2 linked regions of the Ovis aries genome follow. The protein of the gene in region 2 purifies or fractionates together with the protein of the main gene of each other region. This does not show direct contact. Links are inferred from orthologs where the notes say so. Each region holds a gene or a part of one and is shown on either strand. Other genes may lie near its edges. The genes, in order: GOLM1 and SLC7A14.

The links.
Region 1: the proteins of SLC7A14 (region 2) and GOLM1 purify together in Homo sapiens (co-immunoprecipitation; 3 studies listed by BioGRID and IntAct, with this or other methods). This does not show direct contact. The link is inferred for Ovis aries from reciprocal best matches to the Homo sapiens genes SLC7A14 and GOLM1.

The regions. Positions count from the first base shown.
Region 1 is NC_056055.1:33,768,467-33,772,277, reverse strand, and holds part of GOLM1 (Golgi membrane protein 1), read right to left. Parts: coding exon 3,618-3,811; intron 2,044-3,617; coding exon 1,930-2,043; intron 1-1,929.
Region 2 is NC_056054.1:217,550,035-217,554,497, reverse strand, and holds the start of SLC7A14 (probable cationic amino acid transporter), read right to left. Parts: upstream 2,970-4,463; 5' UTR 2,743-2,969; intron 1-2,742. UniProt on the Homo sapiens protein: Imports 4-aminobutanoate (GABA) into lysosomes. May act as a GABA sensor that regulates mTORC2-dependent INS signaling and gluconeogenesis. The transport mechanism and substrate selectivity remain to be elucidated.

The sequences.
Region 1 (3,811 bases), on a different chromosome or scaffold from region 2:
AAAAGGCACTGTGTGGAGTGAAGCAGTGGCTAAGCAGGACAAGAGACAAAGGAACCAATGGTTCAGAAAGAAGTGGGGAAAACCTCACTGGCCAAAGAAGGTGGGATAATGTGAACTTCAAAAAAGATTATAAATGCAACTGAATGAAACCCATCAAAAAGGTTTAAAAGTTTATATTTTCAAATGGTCACCTTCAAAAAGTCAAAGGAAATAATTCCTTATTGTGAAAACTGGTAAAGAAAAAGAAGCATTTATCCTGCCTATGAACAATACCATGACTTGTCTGTTTACAAAATATTTCAACTAACAAATGAAATAGGAATGGCTGAATTAAAATACCACCTCCAGATATCAGCTGGTGATCTGCATGAAATAGGGAGGAAAGAAGAACACACTAAACCAAACCATGAACAGAACCATGAAATACACAATCAACACTCTCCAGACTGTGGTCAAACAGCAATGGCTGGCTGGATGAATGGATGGAAGGAAGGAAGGGAGAGAAGACTTGTAAATTGAAACTTAAACACATATCAAATATAATAAAATGGGCAAGACTAAACTATGGCATCCAGGGATGCCCACTTGGGTGATAAACCCATAAAGAAATTCAAGAAAATGCTGAATGGAAAGGTGAGGACAGGTATTTCAGTACAGGGAGGGAAAGTGCTAGGACAGGAAGGGCAACAAAGAAGGAACTTCCTGAAGCCAAGTTCTGTTTCTTGAATCAGGAAGGCAGGGTGCAGTTAAAAAATGTTTAACTTCTAACAACTCATTTGTTTTGTGTGCTTTCCTCAATCTGATTTACTTCATAAAACCAGAAGAAAAATCTGAAAGTATACTGAACAACAACAACAAAAAAATGTGTGAATTCAACTCTAAATGAGAAAACTGTGACTCCATATCTATAGGCAAAAAAAGACATAAAAATGTTTAAACCTTTCACATGGCAAAAAACCATAATCAAAATCAAGATAAACTGCTAGGTAGTATTGGCAACCAACATCACAGATAAAGGCCAACCACCCCAGCATATAAAGAACTCTTAAAAACTGAGAAAGAAACACCAAGAGTTTGATGGAAAAATGAACTTTAAGAAAGGAAACCTTGAGTCTACAGTGAAACTAAAACAAGGGAGAGAGAGTACGTGTGCTTGTGTGTGTGTGTAAATGTATACACATTGGGGGTGAGGGAGTCCTTAAAGAATGACAGCTTATCAGTGTGTGGAATGACCATCCAGACCACGGTTTTCAATGGACAGCAAAGTCAACCATTGCACAGCATCCCCCTCTGTAAGACATGTTAGTTACACAGGGAAAGTGGACCTTTGCAGCAGAGAGACCTCATGGGTACCACCTTAACCAAGGATCAGCCTGCCATCCCGTGCCTCCTGGTGTGAAGCTAGAAGAACATAACTGCAGCTATTAAAAAAAAAAAAAAAAAAAGTTCAACCAGAATCCAATCACAAGGAGATGAATCCAGAATCTGAGCATCCCACAGGCCTAGACTCATCAAAAGTTCAAAATAACAGTAATACAAAGTAACTCAGAGTGCTACTATAAAAACTTGCCTGTGTACACATCACAGCATTTCGACTAGTGCTGTGAAATGATCATGCGGTGACCTACCATTTGGAAGGGAAATTCCTAAACTTCACTGAAGCATATCCGCACTGACCCCTGAGGGACTGATGCTCATGTTCATGTATGCAGACTTTCTGAAAGGTCCTCGTTATGGCCTCCTGAAACTGTCACCTCTCTCCACTGCCGCTACACTCCAAGACTTCGGGAGAAAACAATCTTCTAATTAGGGATTACTTACAACATTATTGTTGGGATTCAGTACACAGTCATACCAAAAGTGAAGGGCCACAAATCAGACACGAAAGGTGACCCCCTCCGCCCAACCACCACCACCACTGTTAATTACCATTTCTGCTTTTGTCATTCCCTGCAAGGGCTGCCTGCTTGTCTGCTTCAGATTCTGCCTCATTCTCATCCATGTTGTAGTCATCATCAGCTCCCAGTTTCTGCTGATTTCTCCCTGAAAAATGAGCACAGAGCCACAAAACATAGCTACATCATTTCTCTCTCAATGCCATGGGAACACCAGAGTCCGGGTGCTAGGGTCATCCCAACCCTGGTTTAACAATCAGCTCTTTCTGCTTCCTCTAAGGAAATGACAGGGACTCATGTGCTTGCTCCCAGTGCAAAGACCATGCAGGATTTCTCTACTTATGTATGCCCCACTCCAACTTTGAATCTATTTAAAATATGGCCCTAAATAAAGAGCTTCATTCCAGGCTGGAATCAGGGTAACTAGTTCACCAAACGAAATTCCAGTTTTTTAAAGAGATAATCAACTCAACGTTAAAGGAAGGCATCACTGTTTGGAAACAGGTTTCTGGTTAATGGAGGTATCTGCTTAAAATGGTTCACTGCCCTGAGAGAAGGAAATGGAGTAGCTATTGTGAGTCAAAGGGTAAAATTTTTCCATCAAACATACAGAATTAGCTCATTTATCACTGCGTTCATCCCCAGAGAGAAGAGCAACCAGAAAAGATCAGGACAGGATGCAATCAAGAGACATACTCAGAGGGTTACTGTAAACATTTCATATCTGTATAAACAAGATCTTTTGTTTAAAAAGCATGTCTGGAAAAGTCAGCTCTAGTTCTATATCCCTGCACTAACTGCCTGAAGAGGAAACAAAGTCCAGGCCTGTGTGCCATGTGGCTTTATCCTAATAATCAGACCATTACAGCTGACCTTGAACAAGGTGTGACATGTAGGCCCCCACAGTAGCTCAGGCCTTCTGGCAGCTGTTAAACCCTGTGACCAACTGCTGAGTGAGCTGAAACTTGAGTGCCACTCTGATCAGCCCCCCAGAGTGTCATTTTTTTCTTTTTCCCTCCCCAATTATTTAACAGAAAACTTGTAAGAACGTACTCTTCAGAAAATCGGGGTAACTTCTGCCAGTAAGTACTATCCCCACCTTCTATCACTTTATCAGGCTCAGCACACAGGTGTCTTCTAAGCGCCCCTGGCTTAGCTAGGATTAAAATGTCTTCCATCTTTCAGGGACCAAGATACATCCCAGAATATTCTGCTCATCTCAGTTTCCCACACTTTTCTTTAAAAAAAAGAAGTCAACCAAACCAGAAAGGTGAGATTCCCACGTCACTTTTCTGCAACGCTCAAACAAGCATGACCCTCCATCTATCTGATCCTTCCATCTGTCCTTCCTTCCTCCTTCGGTTCACCAGGCACTGCCAGTGACATGGCAGGAGGAGATGGAGTGACAAGGAAAATGTGTGGGCTCTGCCTGCCAGGAGACCTATGTGGACTCTATGCTCAGCTCCCATCCAAGGTCTTCCACCTGGAAAGCCCTCTAGGCTCCCTGTGAAAATGATTTCTACAAGTTCCAAGTGCTAGGAGTGCCTGGCCGTTCTGTCTTGCCTCCTGCCTGACAATGGAACCAAACAAACAGAACGAACTACCAAATGGCACTCTGCTGGTTGGTCATCTTCATGGGTGTCTGTTCTGCACCAGGAAGGACATGGTGGGGGCTAGTGCCTGATGCAGAGGAGTGGGCAGTCCAGGGAGCCTCTCACCCACCTTCCTCGTCGGCATCCTGCCTCTCCTCCTGTCCGTCGCGGACGACGAGCTGGTCCCGTTCAGGGCCCTCCACCTCTTGATTCTCCTGGCTGGCCAGCAGGGCAGCTGGGACCTGTGGGATTTGGCCCAGCTCTCCAGGTTCTCCATTGCCTTTTCCACCCACTTGTCTGTCTCCTTCCACCGCCTGTTCTTGG
Region 2 (4,463 bases):
GGAGCCTGGTGAGCTACTGTTCATAGGGTGGCAAAGAGTCAGACACAACTTAGCAACTAAATGACAACAACAAAACCAACAAATTACTGAATATAATTCAGTCCTGCTGATGTTCTTGTCAAAGATAATTAGAGAAGGCATGGAAAAATATTTGATGCATCATGGGAGTAGTGGAAAGGGCACTGGCCTTGGAGTCAGGTCAACTGGATTCCAGTCCTAACTTTTCAGTCATGTGCATTAGACTAATAAGCATCTTTTGGTTCTCAAATTCTCTTTTTTGCAAAACAATGATGCTTAATGGTCTTGAAGGTTTTTCCAGCCCTATAACTCCAGGGTAGAATTCTAAATAGGAAAGCACAAGTGGGATCTAGTCCTCCAGACTCCCCAAAGCCTTGCTGTTCTTCAGGAAAGCCTGCCATTTTATTCCTCTATCACGGTTCTGTTATCCTGAAGCTCTAGTGTGTGAACAGTGGTATCTCAAGCAGCATGCACAAAAGCAGTTGGTATGGTGGGAGTTAGTGACAGTGGGTGGGTGAACAGATTAAAGAGGAAAGGGTTGGAAGAGACAGTAGTGTCTGTGAAAAGCAAAGCTGGTCCTCTACCTTTGACAAATTCTTGCTATAGTCTCCAGTAACCACTGCCCAAAGTCAATGCCAAAATAAGGGCATGAAAATAGCTTGGATTTCAGAGTTAAGCAGACTTGAATTTGAATCCAAGCTCTGGATTTGAGATACATAACTTCAGTTTTCTAAACTTTGTGATACATTTGGTTAGCAGCTATTGTGAAGCTTAAATGAGATGATATGGCCCAGCAAATAGTAGGGTTTTTTTTTTTTTAAAGTAAATAGTCTCTTAACTTGGCCTTCTGAAATTGGCTTAGTTCACTCCTCATCTAGCCCATAATGTAAAAGACTCTGAAAGAAACATACAAGACTGCTTAGAGATCTGTATCCAGAGGATGTAAAATTTACATTGTAGATAATGCGTGGTGGAGAGAGAGGGTGCTGAAGAGAAAAAAAAAAAAAAAACTCAGCCAGGAATAGAAAGCCTAGTTAGTCTCTCTGTTAATGAAGCCTCTTCCCTTGTGCAGCCTCACAGTTCTCTGGTTCTTGAAAGCCACAGTAGCGTTTATCAGAACAACAACCCTAACTGTGTTTCCAACACTTCACCAACAGGAAGATTCACAGCGCAGGCAGAGAAAACAGAATGAGGCACCACATTCGTTCCCATTCAAGTTAGCAAAGCTGGATCCTAGAGTGACACCCGCTCCTTGCTCCTCAACCCAGCACTGGGGAAAACCTGCTTCCAAGGGGAATCTAGGGGTGGGGGTGGGGTGTGGGGTGGGAAGGCAGAGAAACGGGGAATGCATAGCACCTTTGCCCCTCTCTCTAGGTCACTTGATCCACTTGACTTCCTTTACGAGGTTCTAACACAGTTTCTGCTTTGGAGAAAAATGTTGGCAAGCAATGAGCCTCCAGTCCCTCGGCGGTGTTATCTCGCCGCTTTGCAGAACTTTCAGCACCGCGGACAGCTCCCGCTGTCCTGTCTGTGGCCCACTCTCAGGACTGGCATTCTCCCGGAACCCCTTCCTGGAGGGGGCTCTGGTCGGAGTGGGGTTGGGGGAGGGGAGGTGGGATGTCATTCTGGGTTTCTTGGCCAACTTTGGCCAGAGACCGGCCCTGCCACTACGGTGAGAATACCTCCTAAGAGCCGGTTCCTTTTCACCTCTCGGTTGAAGACCTCCAAGAACCGAAGTCAGCATAGGCGGTGGGGTGGGGAGTGCCAGGAGCCCATGAGGGCTCTATTTTTCCATCATTCCTGCACCTTTTTTCCGCCTTTCACTTTACTTCTAGGCATTCGGCGACTTCTGTCTTACTTTTCAATCGCAATACAAAATACCTGTGTGTGAGGGGAAGGGTGGGGGCTGACTCAAGAGCTAGAAGGAGGTTGTGGCTGCGTCCGGCGAGGCTACACTGCCCTACTCTGGCCCTTTGAATTCTTAGGACGCTGATGTGCTTTGGGATGGGGAAGTGGGGCGGGCTCTGACTTAGGTGTAAGTGTGAGAGTCCTCTCCCCAGGGTTGCCCCCTCTGTTCAGGGAGCTTCCCTGACACCTCACTCATCACGTCCTCCTCGTCGCCCCCGGTGTGTCACCGGTCTCTGGGGACAGATGCCCCTGCGAGCGCATGGCCTTGTCAGGTCACCTGGGTCAGATAGAGTCCCTTTGAAGAGTTTGCTCTAATGTAAAAGGGGAGACATTGTTCCCGCCCGTCCTTCGGGCTTCGGCCGGAAAAGCATCTCTCTCTCTCTCGTTGGACTCTTTCAGACGCCGAGAAAACCTAGCTGCGCGAACCAAGGTGCGGGGGGACAGGACGGGCCCGGCGTCTGTGGAGACCTGGGCGGCCCGAAAGCTGCTCACGGCTCCCTCCTCCGCCTCTAGCTCCCGCGGGCCGGACCTGCCTGGCAGCCCCGCAGTTGGAGCCCGGCGTCCCCCCACCCTGGATGCTATCCAGGCCCCATTGCAGGCCAGAGCCGGAGAGACCCCGACCCGGCTCCGTCCTTCCTTCTAGGAGACCCCTTCCCGGAGGGCGCCCTCAGCCTCCGCGCCATGTTCCTGCTTACCCGCTCCGGGTGGCTCTGGCTCGCTGGTTCATTCAACAAGAGGTGATCATCCCATTTTACAGCTGGGATGCAGGGGCCACGGAGGGGGACAGACTACAGCGACAGGGGGACGTTCACTCACCGGAGGGCTGGAGGTGATGAACTGGCTGCCGGGGCTGATGGCTGGCGGTCCTCACTTACAGCGCCGGGTTTGTCTCTTCTCCCGTGATGCGGGGTGGTGGCGGCAAAGGAAAGCAGGAGGCAGCCGCCACTGCCGAACAGCTCCTCAATTATTCAGATTGCCCCTCTATCTGCACCCTCCCCGCGGCCTCGCAGTCCTCCCTCCAGCTAGCCTGTCTCCGCCTTCCTGGAGTCACGTGTGCTGCCCAACCCCTTACATTACCGAGCAGAAGCCTCTCACCAGACGCCCCCCCCCCCCCCCCCCCCAGCCCCAGTACACACACACACACACACACACACACACACACACACACACTGCTATCTGCCGCTCTCAACTACCTGGCCTATTAAGCCCCCAGGTGCTGCTTCCAGTACCTCATGCTACGTGAGGCTGAGGGGAAGAGATGCTGGCAGCTCTCCGCCCTGGGAAAGGACCAGGCAGGACTCCGCAGTGTTGATGTGTTGCGAATGCACAGCCTCTGCGAGAAGCTCCACCTCTGCTGGACTTGACATTGGACAAAGCTGGCTACCCAGACCTGGTTCCTGCCCTCTGGAAGCTTCCCCCTTCTTCACCGAGCCCTTGCTGCTCTTAAATTTCTTCCACCTCCCTCAGCATTACTGAAAGGAAAGGATGGGGGAGATTGATTTCCCCTCCCCTCCTAAAAAAAGGACAAGACCTTCCTCTTTCTCCAATAGACTAAGTTTATCTTTGGATTCTCAACATCTAATGAGTAGAAAAGATTGAGGCTTTGAGATGTGAAGACTGAGGAGGAATTTTGGTCCATACCAAAAATAGATACCCTTGGGAGTATCTAACTTCTGTTAGCCTTTCTTCTCTCATCTGTGAAATGACCCTTTCACAGAACTATTATGAGAATTAAAAATGGTAATATTCTTAAAGTTGCCTAACGTATTTAGAACTCAATAAATGGGAGTCCTTCCCCCCTCTCTGTTAAAATAAATTTCAGAAACAAGGAGATTGTGATTTGCACCAGTAGAATGGAAGTATCTTTTGTAAACTTAGAAAGGGGTATCTGTGCATTCAGGCTTGACAGATAATGTATGAAAGGAGAAAAGCAATTTACTGGGCTTATAGTTTTTCATTGGTTCTATTGAGAACTATGTTATGTCTCAAAAGGATGAGGACTATGTAGTACAAACTGAGGCATGTTTGGCCTCATCAGAGAATGAATTATTTACTATGCGTTGAAAAGACTGCTTTAGATGGACAGTACCTACATAATCTTGGATCTTTGGTCCAGGCCTTCAAAATATATGGGAACTAATGAGATGTAACTCCCCATCCTTGGAAACACATTCACTGGGCTTCTGATTGAGAAGAATGTTGACTGTCTGACACTTCTTTCCTAGCATGGAGCAGTCAAATGTACCTTCCGATTGTGGGTTCTAGCTAGTGGACCTGGGTTCTCTCCAGAAAAATGACTGATCAGTGCCAGGACAGTCTGGGAAAGTCAACCTAGCTTAAATTTATTACTGTTTTGGACCAGAATCCAGGTGTTAAGTATTGAGATATCTCCTTCATTTGAGCTTATGCAGGGTATATCAGATCTTCTAGGATACCCAAGAAGCTGTGGAACTTTGCAGGAAAGGCATAGAGTTAAAGAATCAGAAGTTTGGCATCTTAATACAGGCTTTGGTGGTGGTGGTTTAGTCGCTAAGTCG